2 linked regions of the Cricetulus griseus genome follow. The protein of the gene in region 1 purifies or fractionates together with the protein of each later gene. This does not show direct contact. Links are inferred from orthologs where the notes say so. Each region holds a gene or a part of one and is shown on either strand. Other genes may lie near its edges. The genes, in order: Pold3 and Sprtn.

Region 1 (4,588 bases):
ATGAAAGCTTAAACATCACAGCTAAAGTCAGTCTCCTACATCCATCTAATGTTAACTCAAATAAAGCCCAATTGGCCTACTCTGGGAGATTGGGGGCTTTCAAAGACATGCTCCATGTTGGTACAGCTCAAAGAACGCCCCTAAAAATCAGCCCATCCAGGAGCAGGACAAACTAAACAAGGCATTTAACCCATACAAGATTTCTCAAATGGTTAACCCATTCTTCCTCTTGGGATTTAGACAACATTCTGTACCTTTGCATATCAAAACATTCTAGCATTGATTTCAAAGTTGTCTTTTCTTTTTTGGCCTCAAGTCAGATCTGTTTTAACAACAACAACAACAGAAAGATGTGGCAGAATGCAAGAAGGCAGTGCTCTGGCATCCTAAGCACGCTCTTTACTTTCACTTAAATACTCACATATCTTTTATTATTATTATTATTAAGTTTTTCAAGACAGGGTTTCTCTATGTAGCTTTGGAGCATGTTCTGGAACTAGCTCTTATAGACCGGGCTGGTCTCAAACTCAGAGAGATCTGCCTGCCTCTGCTGGGATTAAAGGTATGCACCACCACTGCCCGGCAAATACTCTCATATTTTTTTAAATTGTAATTAATTTGTGTGTGTGTGTGTGTGTGTGTGTGTGTGTGTGTGTGTGTGTGTGTGTGCAACAGTCACCGGTGGAGATTAGAAGACCACCTGTGACAGTCTGTCTCTCTTTCTGATGTGTAAGTCCCCAAAACTTAACTCAGGCCATCAGGCTCAACAGCAAGCACCTTTGCCCACTCAAGCCATCTCATTGGCTCCAGTTCTCACACTATACTATCAGACAGCTAATGTCAAACACACGTTGGCCTCTGGTACACTCAGGAATGGGGAACCTGAACTGAGGAACTGCCTCCATTGAATGGGCCTGTGGGCATGTCTGTGGGGCAATCTCTTAATTGTTAATTGATGTAGGAGAGCCCAGCCCACAGTGGGCAGATGGTCCTCAGTTGTATAAGGTAGCTGAACAAGCCAAAGAGAGCAAGCCAGTAAGTAAGCTGGGCTCCTTCATGGTCTCTGCTTCAGTTCCTGTCTTGTAAGACAAACCCTTTCCTCCCCACATTGGTTTTAGTCAGTATTTATCACAGAAACAGAAACCATTATGAAAATATGGGTCAAAGTTAGGCCTAATAAACACATGTGGAAACATGAAGATCTACAACAACAAACACATAAATCTGAGCTATAAACAGGATTGGTGAACCCATTTAATAAAACCGAAATAACGGAAGTGTAATATTACTTTTCTGTTGCTGTGATAAAAGACCATGACAAAAACAATAGATAGAATAAAGAGTTTATTTGGGAGTACAGTTCCTGAGAGTTAAGAGTCCATCGTGAAAGGAGGTGTGGGAGAGGCCAGGGAGGTTGAGAAGGAAGTTGAGAGTTCCTATCTTCAAAGGCAAGCATAAGCACAAAACAGACCATCCCCCAAACAGTGCCACAAACTGGGAATGTAAACATATGAGCCTATGGGGGAAGCATTCTCATTCAAATCACTATACAAAGTGATGTTAACCAAGTCTGGAGGGAAAAACAAAACAAAACAAAACAAAACAGCAAGTCCACTGATCTAAAAGAGAGAAAAACAGGGCTGGGGGAACAGCAAAGCTAGTCAAGTGGTTGCCACGCCAGCATAAGGACCTGAGTTCAGATCCACAAACCACAACAAAGCTGGATAAGATAGCATAGCTGTGGTGTGGTGAGAGGGAGGCAGACAGAAGAAACCTCACAAGCTTGAAGGCCAGTCTGGTGTACACAGCAGAGAATAACAAGAGATCCCATCCAAACTAGTTGGAAAGGGAGGAAAGGAGCCCCAAATCATCCTGACCATCCCACGTGTTCTGTGACCTCTGTGCAAGCATACATACATACATACATACATACATACATACACACACACCAAAAGAAAGAAGCAGTGAAAATAATATTCTCTACTAACCCAAGGGGGGGAAAGTCTGATCTAACCTAAGAGCTCTCTGAGCATTTAAAAACAAGGTGAAAAAAAAGCATCATTAAAATTAGCATAAACTGGACTTACTGTTTTGCCTGGTTAACATGAACTCCTAGTGTATAGCTTAACCACTTGTAAGTCACCTGAAAGAGGAAACATTTTTTAAGGTTTTATTAGATGATTACAGAGTACAGATAAGTGCCAAGAGCCTACTCCCAAAGATTCTTATTCTTGTATGATTATGTCCTGTAAACTACAATAGATATCAGTTAGAAAAACCATCTATGTGACAAGTAAGACCAAGATACTAATCTTACAAATACAGACTGATCGATGCAAAAGAATCTACACCCGGTACCAAACAGTGTCCATGGGCTCACTGTGACAAAGTTGCTTCACTTCCAGATCTGTCTCCATCGTTACACCAGCCCAGAGAGGCGGGTCATGCTGAATGCTTTCAATATTTAAATTTCCAGGAAGAGGAAACTGTGTCTGGAGGGTAAACCACCAGTCAGTAGCCCAGATAGGACGTCGGGTCTCCTCAACCGCTTGAGGGTGGGCCGCTTGAGGGGCCCACCACCCGACAGGACATGGGGGAGGGGGGCCTCACGAACTCTTGCCTGCTTCCCTTGCTCCACGCCCCAGAGACCCACACGTCCGCCCAAGGCCCGCGAACTTGAGAGCACGCGGGAGGCTCTGCCCGCAGGGACTGTCTCCCACCCGAGGGTGCGTCGCGGTGACCTGTGCCCCCCTCGACCTGTCCCCAGGAAGCCACAAGCGCCGGGGTCGAGACCCCCGGCGCCCTGGCAGGCCCAGGACCCCTCACATCCGCCCCGAACACGCCTGCCCCCTAGTCCTAGTTCCTCACGATCTTGTTCTGGTCCGTGACGAACTCGTCTATGTTTTCCAGATACAGCTGTTCCGCCATGGTGGTGCAGCTCCGAGCCCTTGGCTCAACCACAGCCACAGCTCCCGCCGGCGGGAAACGGATTCGCTCACTCCCAGGTCGCGGGTCGTCTCCCACGGCAACCGAGGCGACGCGCTACGGCGGCGGACGAGGGCCAAACCACTGCGAGTCCGGAAGGGAGTGACGTAAGGGAAACTGGATGTAGGACGGAAGTGAAAGGTGCGAGCTTGGTTGTCTGTGTGCACCAGGGAACTTTCCAATCTCTCCTTTGTCACTGGTATACTGACTGACCCAGGACCGTTTGTTTTACCGCTCTAAGCAAGAGTTTTTCCGCTTGGAACGTGAGAAAAATACCTCTTGTTGTCTAGCACTGGAACTCAATGGTAGCTCACTTTCCTAGCCTGGGTGGTGGTGTGAACTAAACGCTTGAAAAGAAGCCATGTCTGCAGAGACTGCTTGGCTGATCAGCATTTCTGTAATTTGGAGAGATTGGAATGTTGCAGGTCCAGAGACTAATTACCTTATCTTGGCCTAGTTCTAGCCCTCTGGAACAGCCCTTTCTTACCCACTTCGGAATCGGAATTATCACCTTGTGACTTAATGGATGGAAACCTTTTCGAATCGGTTAAGTTAGCAGACCACTAGCTTCCACCAATCTAAAAGCTAAGAATTGTCATCAGATAGCATCTTGATCCTATAGGAAAGCTTCCCCCATATTGACATACCTGCCTCTCTGAATGTATTTTAAACTTGCCTTGATTTGTGGCTTTCATTGCTCTGTAGAATTATAAAACTTCATGAAAGTGTTCCCACATTGGAACATGGAGTTTGGGGTACCCAGGCCATGGTCACTCAAAATAGCTCCAGAATAAACTATCACTCATTCCCTTTAAGATGAGAGCTGTGCTTTTTGCATCGACAATGAGGTAAAATGTGATACCCCATCCTTGCCATTTGATACCTTTATTCAACAACAAAGATTAAATGGATGTTCTGTTCTAAGTGTTTCTCTAGCAGTGAGAAATAGTGACAGTGTGCCTGTTAAAATCCTTACAAGCCAGGCGTTGGTGGCCCACGCCTTTAATCCCAGCACCTGGGAGGCAGAGGCAGGAGGATCTCTGTGAGTTCAAAGACAGCCTGGTCTATAGAGCGAGTTCTAGGACATCCTCCAAAGCAATACAGAGAAACCCTGTCTCAAAACACCAAAAAAAAAAAATCCTTCCAAAATAAGAGAATGGTGAAGGTTTTCCGGAGGGGTCTGGGGAGAAAGACTCTCTCAGATTGCTCTAGCTACTCAAGTATTGGGAGAAAAGGCCAATGGGGAGAAAGGACTTTGGAGGAGCCAGGTCCTGCTGTGCCTACTAAGCTGTGTAATGGGGCACACCATCTTTATTCCTAGGAAAACATCATTAGATTAGAAAATTTCTACTTAAGTTTTTGCCAACAATACACACACACACACACACACACACACACACACACACACACACACACACCTTCCTTAATAATAGCCCCCAGCCATTGTAGTTCAATCCTGTAGCATAGTGGATAAGAAATAGACTGTGAGCTGGGTAGTGGTGGTGCACACCTCTAATGCCAGCACTTGGGAGGCAAAAGCAAGCAGATCTTTGTGAGTTCAAGGCCAGCTTAGTCTACAGAGTGAGCTCTAGGACAGCCAGGA
Region 2 (4,516 bases), about 100 Mb from region 1:
AGTTCCAGAAGAGTTCAGTGGTACAAGCATGATCACCAGCGTAGGGAGGGCATACCTCAGCCTTGGCTGTGATATCTCCTCCAATACTGCACTGTCAGGACTCAAAGAACTTCTGATAAGGGACTGTCACACATGTGTGAGAAGCTCCTCCTGAAGGTCCAGAAAAGTGTAATGCAGAACCAAAGGAGCATGCCTCAAATGCTGATCTGGAGTTGTTGGAGGCCTCAAGGAAAAGGACTGCTGGCTCTGTAGCTACTCTACCTCTAGCGCCTAGACAAGTCCATTCATTTCTGTAGGATTCTTATTCAAGGCTGAAAAATCTTCACTTTTACTGAATGAATCTAAGTATAACTTTGAATGGCTGCTGGGCTTGGTGGCACAAACCTATAAGCTCAGTACTTAGGAGGCTGAGTTAGAATTTGCAAGTTTGAGGACAGTCTGGTTTACTGTTTTGCCCTTGCTCCCAAAACATGTGTAGCTTAGTGTACCGTTATGTTGGCTCCTGTCAGTTGGTTGATTCGATGCATATGTTTACAGAACTCTGGGCCATGTCCTTCCCGGTCTTTATCATTATTAGTGACAAATAAGTAGGCATGTATCATTTCATGCAAAAGAGTCTGAAACAGAAAACCAGAAAATTAATTTTCTAGGGCATGTCTGAAGATGAAAACGCTTTCTTAACTTGGGGTCTGTAGGCCCAAGTACACAAAACGTTGCATATACTATTTCAACCTCTGCAGATCCCAGTAAGACAAACTCCCTTCGAGGAATTACAATTGCTCAAAAAAGCCCTATTTATCTACCAACTCAATATGAATCCAACCACATAAAAACTTTAAAGTTCTGGTAGAGAAACCCACCGCAAGCAAAGTCAAAAGATAATTCTGACAACTCTGCAACACGTATCACAAGCTCTGAAATTTGAACATACGGGGCTCGTGATGCCAACACCAAAAGAGCGAATAGCCCAGGTCTAAATGGGCACAAAGCTAAGTATATGCTGGGCATGACACACACCTGTGATCCCAGCACTCAAGGTGGAGGCAGAAGGATCAGGAGTTTGAGACCAGTTTGGCAGCACCAGACTCTACCCCCCTAAAAACAGCTGGGTTCATGCATGCCAGCTCACTGAGGAAGCTGAAGCAAGAGAATCATATAAGACCAGGGCCAACCTGGCAAACAGACTGTCTCTTAAAACTCAATAAAATGTCCTGGCCAGGAATGGTAGTGCACAGCTGTAAAAACCCAACCCTCAGAGCTGAGGCAAGAGGATCTTGAGGTTGAAGCCAGCCTGGACTACTATCAAGATCCTGTCTTTAATTTTTTAAAAAGGCCTGGGCAGTGGTGGAACACACCTTCAATCCCAGCACTTAGGAGGCAAGACGGGTGGATCTTTGTGAGCTCAAGAGGCCAGTCTGGTCTACAGACAGAGTTCTAGGAGACCCAGGGCTGCACAGAGAAGCCCTGTCTCAAAAAACAAAAAAAAAAAAAAAAAAAAAAAAAATTCCTGCAAATCACTGAGCTGAGAACTAGGGTTATGGAAAGAATACCTCTACAAGGTCCTTTCTTGGTCTCAGTTTTAGAAGAGGTTCACTGAGACGGATGGAGCACATTCCTCCTCTTCCTTCATAGGTGCAAATCCCAGCACACCTGGAAAGCAGTCACAACAGTGGATTAGATTCACCAAGAACAGTGGAGACGGATCAAAAAGTAAAATCCTAGCCTGTCGTGGGGGAGCACTATGGAGGCAGAGGCAGTCAGATCTCTGAATTCCGGGCCAGCCAGGGATACTCAGTGAAGCCCTGTCTCAAAAACAAAACAAAAAACATGAGCAAATCCTTACCGGTTCTAGTGCAGTTCAGAGGAAAGAGTCCCTGATGGGATACGGCTTTCCTGAGTGGGACACTTGGAATGCAGGCAGTAACGCTTGCTCACCCTCACCCACTCTGCTCCACACAGGCATTCATCAGCAGGGAATGGTTTAGCGCCCACGTCTGCCCGGATACTTCTCCAAAAGGGTCATAGGGTTGGTGTGAAGTTAGACGGACGCTACATACTACATCTCGCCCTGCTTTACTGCAGGCTGCTTTCTTTCTATGTGACGGTGTAAGTGAAGGGCAGATTACTATTTCGAATGGGATTTCTCAAATTCAATGGGTAGAAAAGGAATCCTGTTGGTACATCACTGAGGGCCGTTAGGCCCGGCCCACTCTGGAATATAGGCACGTCTCCAGTGACCTTTCCCTCCACCGCGAGGCGGGGACACCAACGACAACTCAGCGGCCTCGCCCTTCCCTACGTTCCGAGCCGTTCGTGGGCGCACTCACAGTGTCATGCGCACACTCCACTTCACTTCCACCGCCTCTAGCTGACCCCAAAAGAAGCGGTCGTTAAACTGCAAGAAGAGCGCCTGCAGGTCCGGGGTGGGGTCCACCAGCTCCCAGGACGCATCCACCAACGACACGGACTCCCGCGCCGCCGCGCGCCGTGCCACCTGCACGTCCCACTCCTCCTGCAGTCGCAGCGCAACCACCAGATCCTCGTCCATCGCGCCACTCCCGCCCAAGCTACTCCGAAGACGCCGGCGGTGCTCGCGCAGCGCACTGGTCTCGCGAGAGCTCCGGGCCCGGCTGTCAAGTGCGCGAGGGCTCGCCTCGAATGCCTAACCGAAAGTGGCTCTGAGCCGCCCCGCGGGCACAGGCTTAGGAACGCGGGGCTCGGGCTAGGGAAGGCTCCAGGAAGCCGGTTGTCTCCTGAACGCCCCTGAAGTTCAGCACCTCACGTCAAGTCTGGTCCGCGCCCGAGCCTCTTGACTTCCGTACTGGCTGGTCCGCGCACGCGCCGTAAGTCGCTGCCGCTTTTCGCGCAGGCGCGCCGTCGGCACTCCGCCCCTGGCGCAGGCGCAGTAGGAGAGTCTCGACTCTAGCACAGGCGCAATGCAGCGCTCAGCCCCGGCGCAGGCGTTTGGGTGTTGCTCCCGCCCCGCTTCCTCAGCGGTCTTCTCCGCCGGGCTCGGGTGGGGCCGGACGGCGGCGAGTGACAGCGACCGCGAACTGCGGGAGGAGGACGGATGTCAGCCATGTCCGACAGCGGGGCGAGCCGCCTGCGAAGGCAGCTGGAGTCTGGGGGCTTCGAGGCGCGGCTGTACGTGAAGCAGCTGTCGCAACAGTCGGACGGCGACCGCGACCTGCAGGAACACCGACAGCGGGTGCAGGCGCTGGCGGAGGAGACGGCACAGAACCTGAAGCGCAACGTCTATCAAAACTACCGGCAGTTCATCGAGACGGCGCGCGAGATCTCGTACCTGGAGAGCGAAATGTATCAGCTGAGCCACCTGCTGACAGAGCAGAAGAGCAGTCTAGAGAGCATTCCGCTGGCACTGCTGCCCGCCGCCGCCGCGGGAGCCTCCACGGGTGAGGACACGGCGGGCGCGGGGCCGCGGGAGCGCGGGGCGGCCCAGGCAGGCTTCTTGCCCGGGTCGACGGGCGTCCCCCGCGAGGGCCCTGGTATGGGCGAGGAGGGCAAGCAACGCACGCTCACCACGCTGCTGGAGAAGGTAGAGGGCTGCAGGGACCTGCTGGACACGCCAGGCCAGTACCTGGTGTACAACGGGGACCTGGTGGAGTACGAGGCGGACCACATGGCCCAGCTGCAGCGCGTGCACGGCTTCCTCATGAACGATTGTCTGCTGGTGGCTACCTGGCTGCCACAGCGGCGAGGCATGTACCGCTATAACGCTCTTTACCCGCTGGACCGCCTGGCGGTGGTCAACGTCAAGGACAACCCACCGATGAAAGACATGTTCAAGCTTCTCATGTTCCCCGAGAGCCGCATCTTTCAGGCAGAAAATGCCAAGATTAAACGCGAGTGGCTGGAAGTGCTGGAGGAAACCAAGAGGGCGCTCAGTGACAAGAGGAGGAGGGAGCAGGAGGAGGCAGCGGCCCCTCGTGCGCCACCACCAGTGACTTCCAAGGGCAGCAACCCCTTTGAGGATGAGGATGAGGAAGAGCTGGCCACCCCCGAGGTGGAGGAGGAAAAGGTAGACCTCTCCATGGAGTGGATCCAGGAGTTGCCCGAAGACCTGGATGTCTGTATTGCGCAGAGGGACTTTGAGGGCGCAGTGGACTTGCTGGACAAATTGAATCACTACCTGGAAGATAAGCCCAGCCCACCTCCTGTGAAAGAACTGAGGGCCAAAGTGGATGAACGAGTGCGACAGCTCACCGAGGTGCTGGTGTTTGAGCTCTCCCCGGATCGTTCTCTGAGAGGTGGCCCTAAAGCTACTCGCAGGGCAGTGTCTCAGCTGATCCGACTGGGCCAGTGCACTAAGGCTTGTGAGCTGTTTCTGAGGAACAGGGCAGCAGCTGTGCACACTGCCATCCGCCAGCTTCGAATTGAGGGCGCCACTCTGCTCTACATTCACAAGCTGTGCCACGTCTTCTTTACCAGCCTCCTGGAGACCGCAAGGGAATTTGAGACAGACTTTGCAGGCACGGACAGTGGCTGCTACTCTGCA

What was found.
Region 2: the proteins of Pold3 (region 1) and Sprtn purify together in Homo sapiens (affinity purification with mass spectrometry; 3 studies listed by BioGRID, with this or other methods). This does not show direct contact. The link is inferred for Cricetulus griseus from reciprocal best matches to the Homo sapiens genes POLD3 and SPRTN.

The regions. Positions count from the first base shown.
Region 1 is NC_048596.1:99,420,849-99,425,436, reverse strand, and holds the start of Pold3 (DNA polymerase delta subunit 3), read right to left. Parts: upstream 3,023-4,588; 5' UTR 2,929-3,022; coding exon 2,869-2,928; intron 2,727-2,868; exon of another isoform or gene 2,504-2,726; intron 2,451-2,503; exon of another isoform or gene 2,318-2,450; intron 2,144-2,317; coding exon 2,088-2,143; intron 1-2,087. UniProt on the Homo sapiens protein: Accessory component of both the DNA polymerase delta complex and the DNA polymerase zeta complex.
Region 2 is NC_048596.1:201,642,489-201,647,004, reverse strand, and holds the start of Sprtn (sprT-like domain-containing protein Spartan), read right to left. Parts: upstream 2,855-4,516; 5' UTR 2,549-2,854; coding exon 2,328-2,548; intron 2,320-2,327; exon of another isoform or gene 1,844-2,319; intron 1,651-1,843; coding exon 1,551-1,650; intron 618-1,550; coding exon 489-617; intron 1-488. Other genes in the region: Exoc8 (exocyst complex component 8), read left to right, coding at 3,071-4,516. UniProt on the Homo sapiens protein: DNA-dependent metalloendopeptidase that mediates the proteolytic cleavage of covalent DNA-protein cross-links (DPCs) during DNA synthesis, thereby playing a key role in maintaining genomic integrity.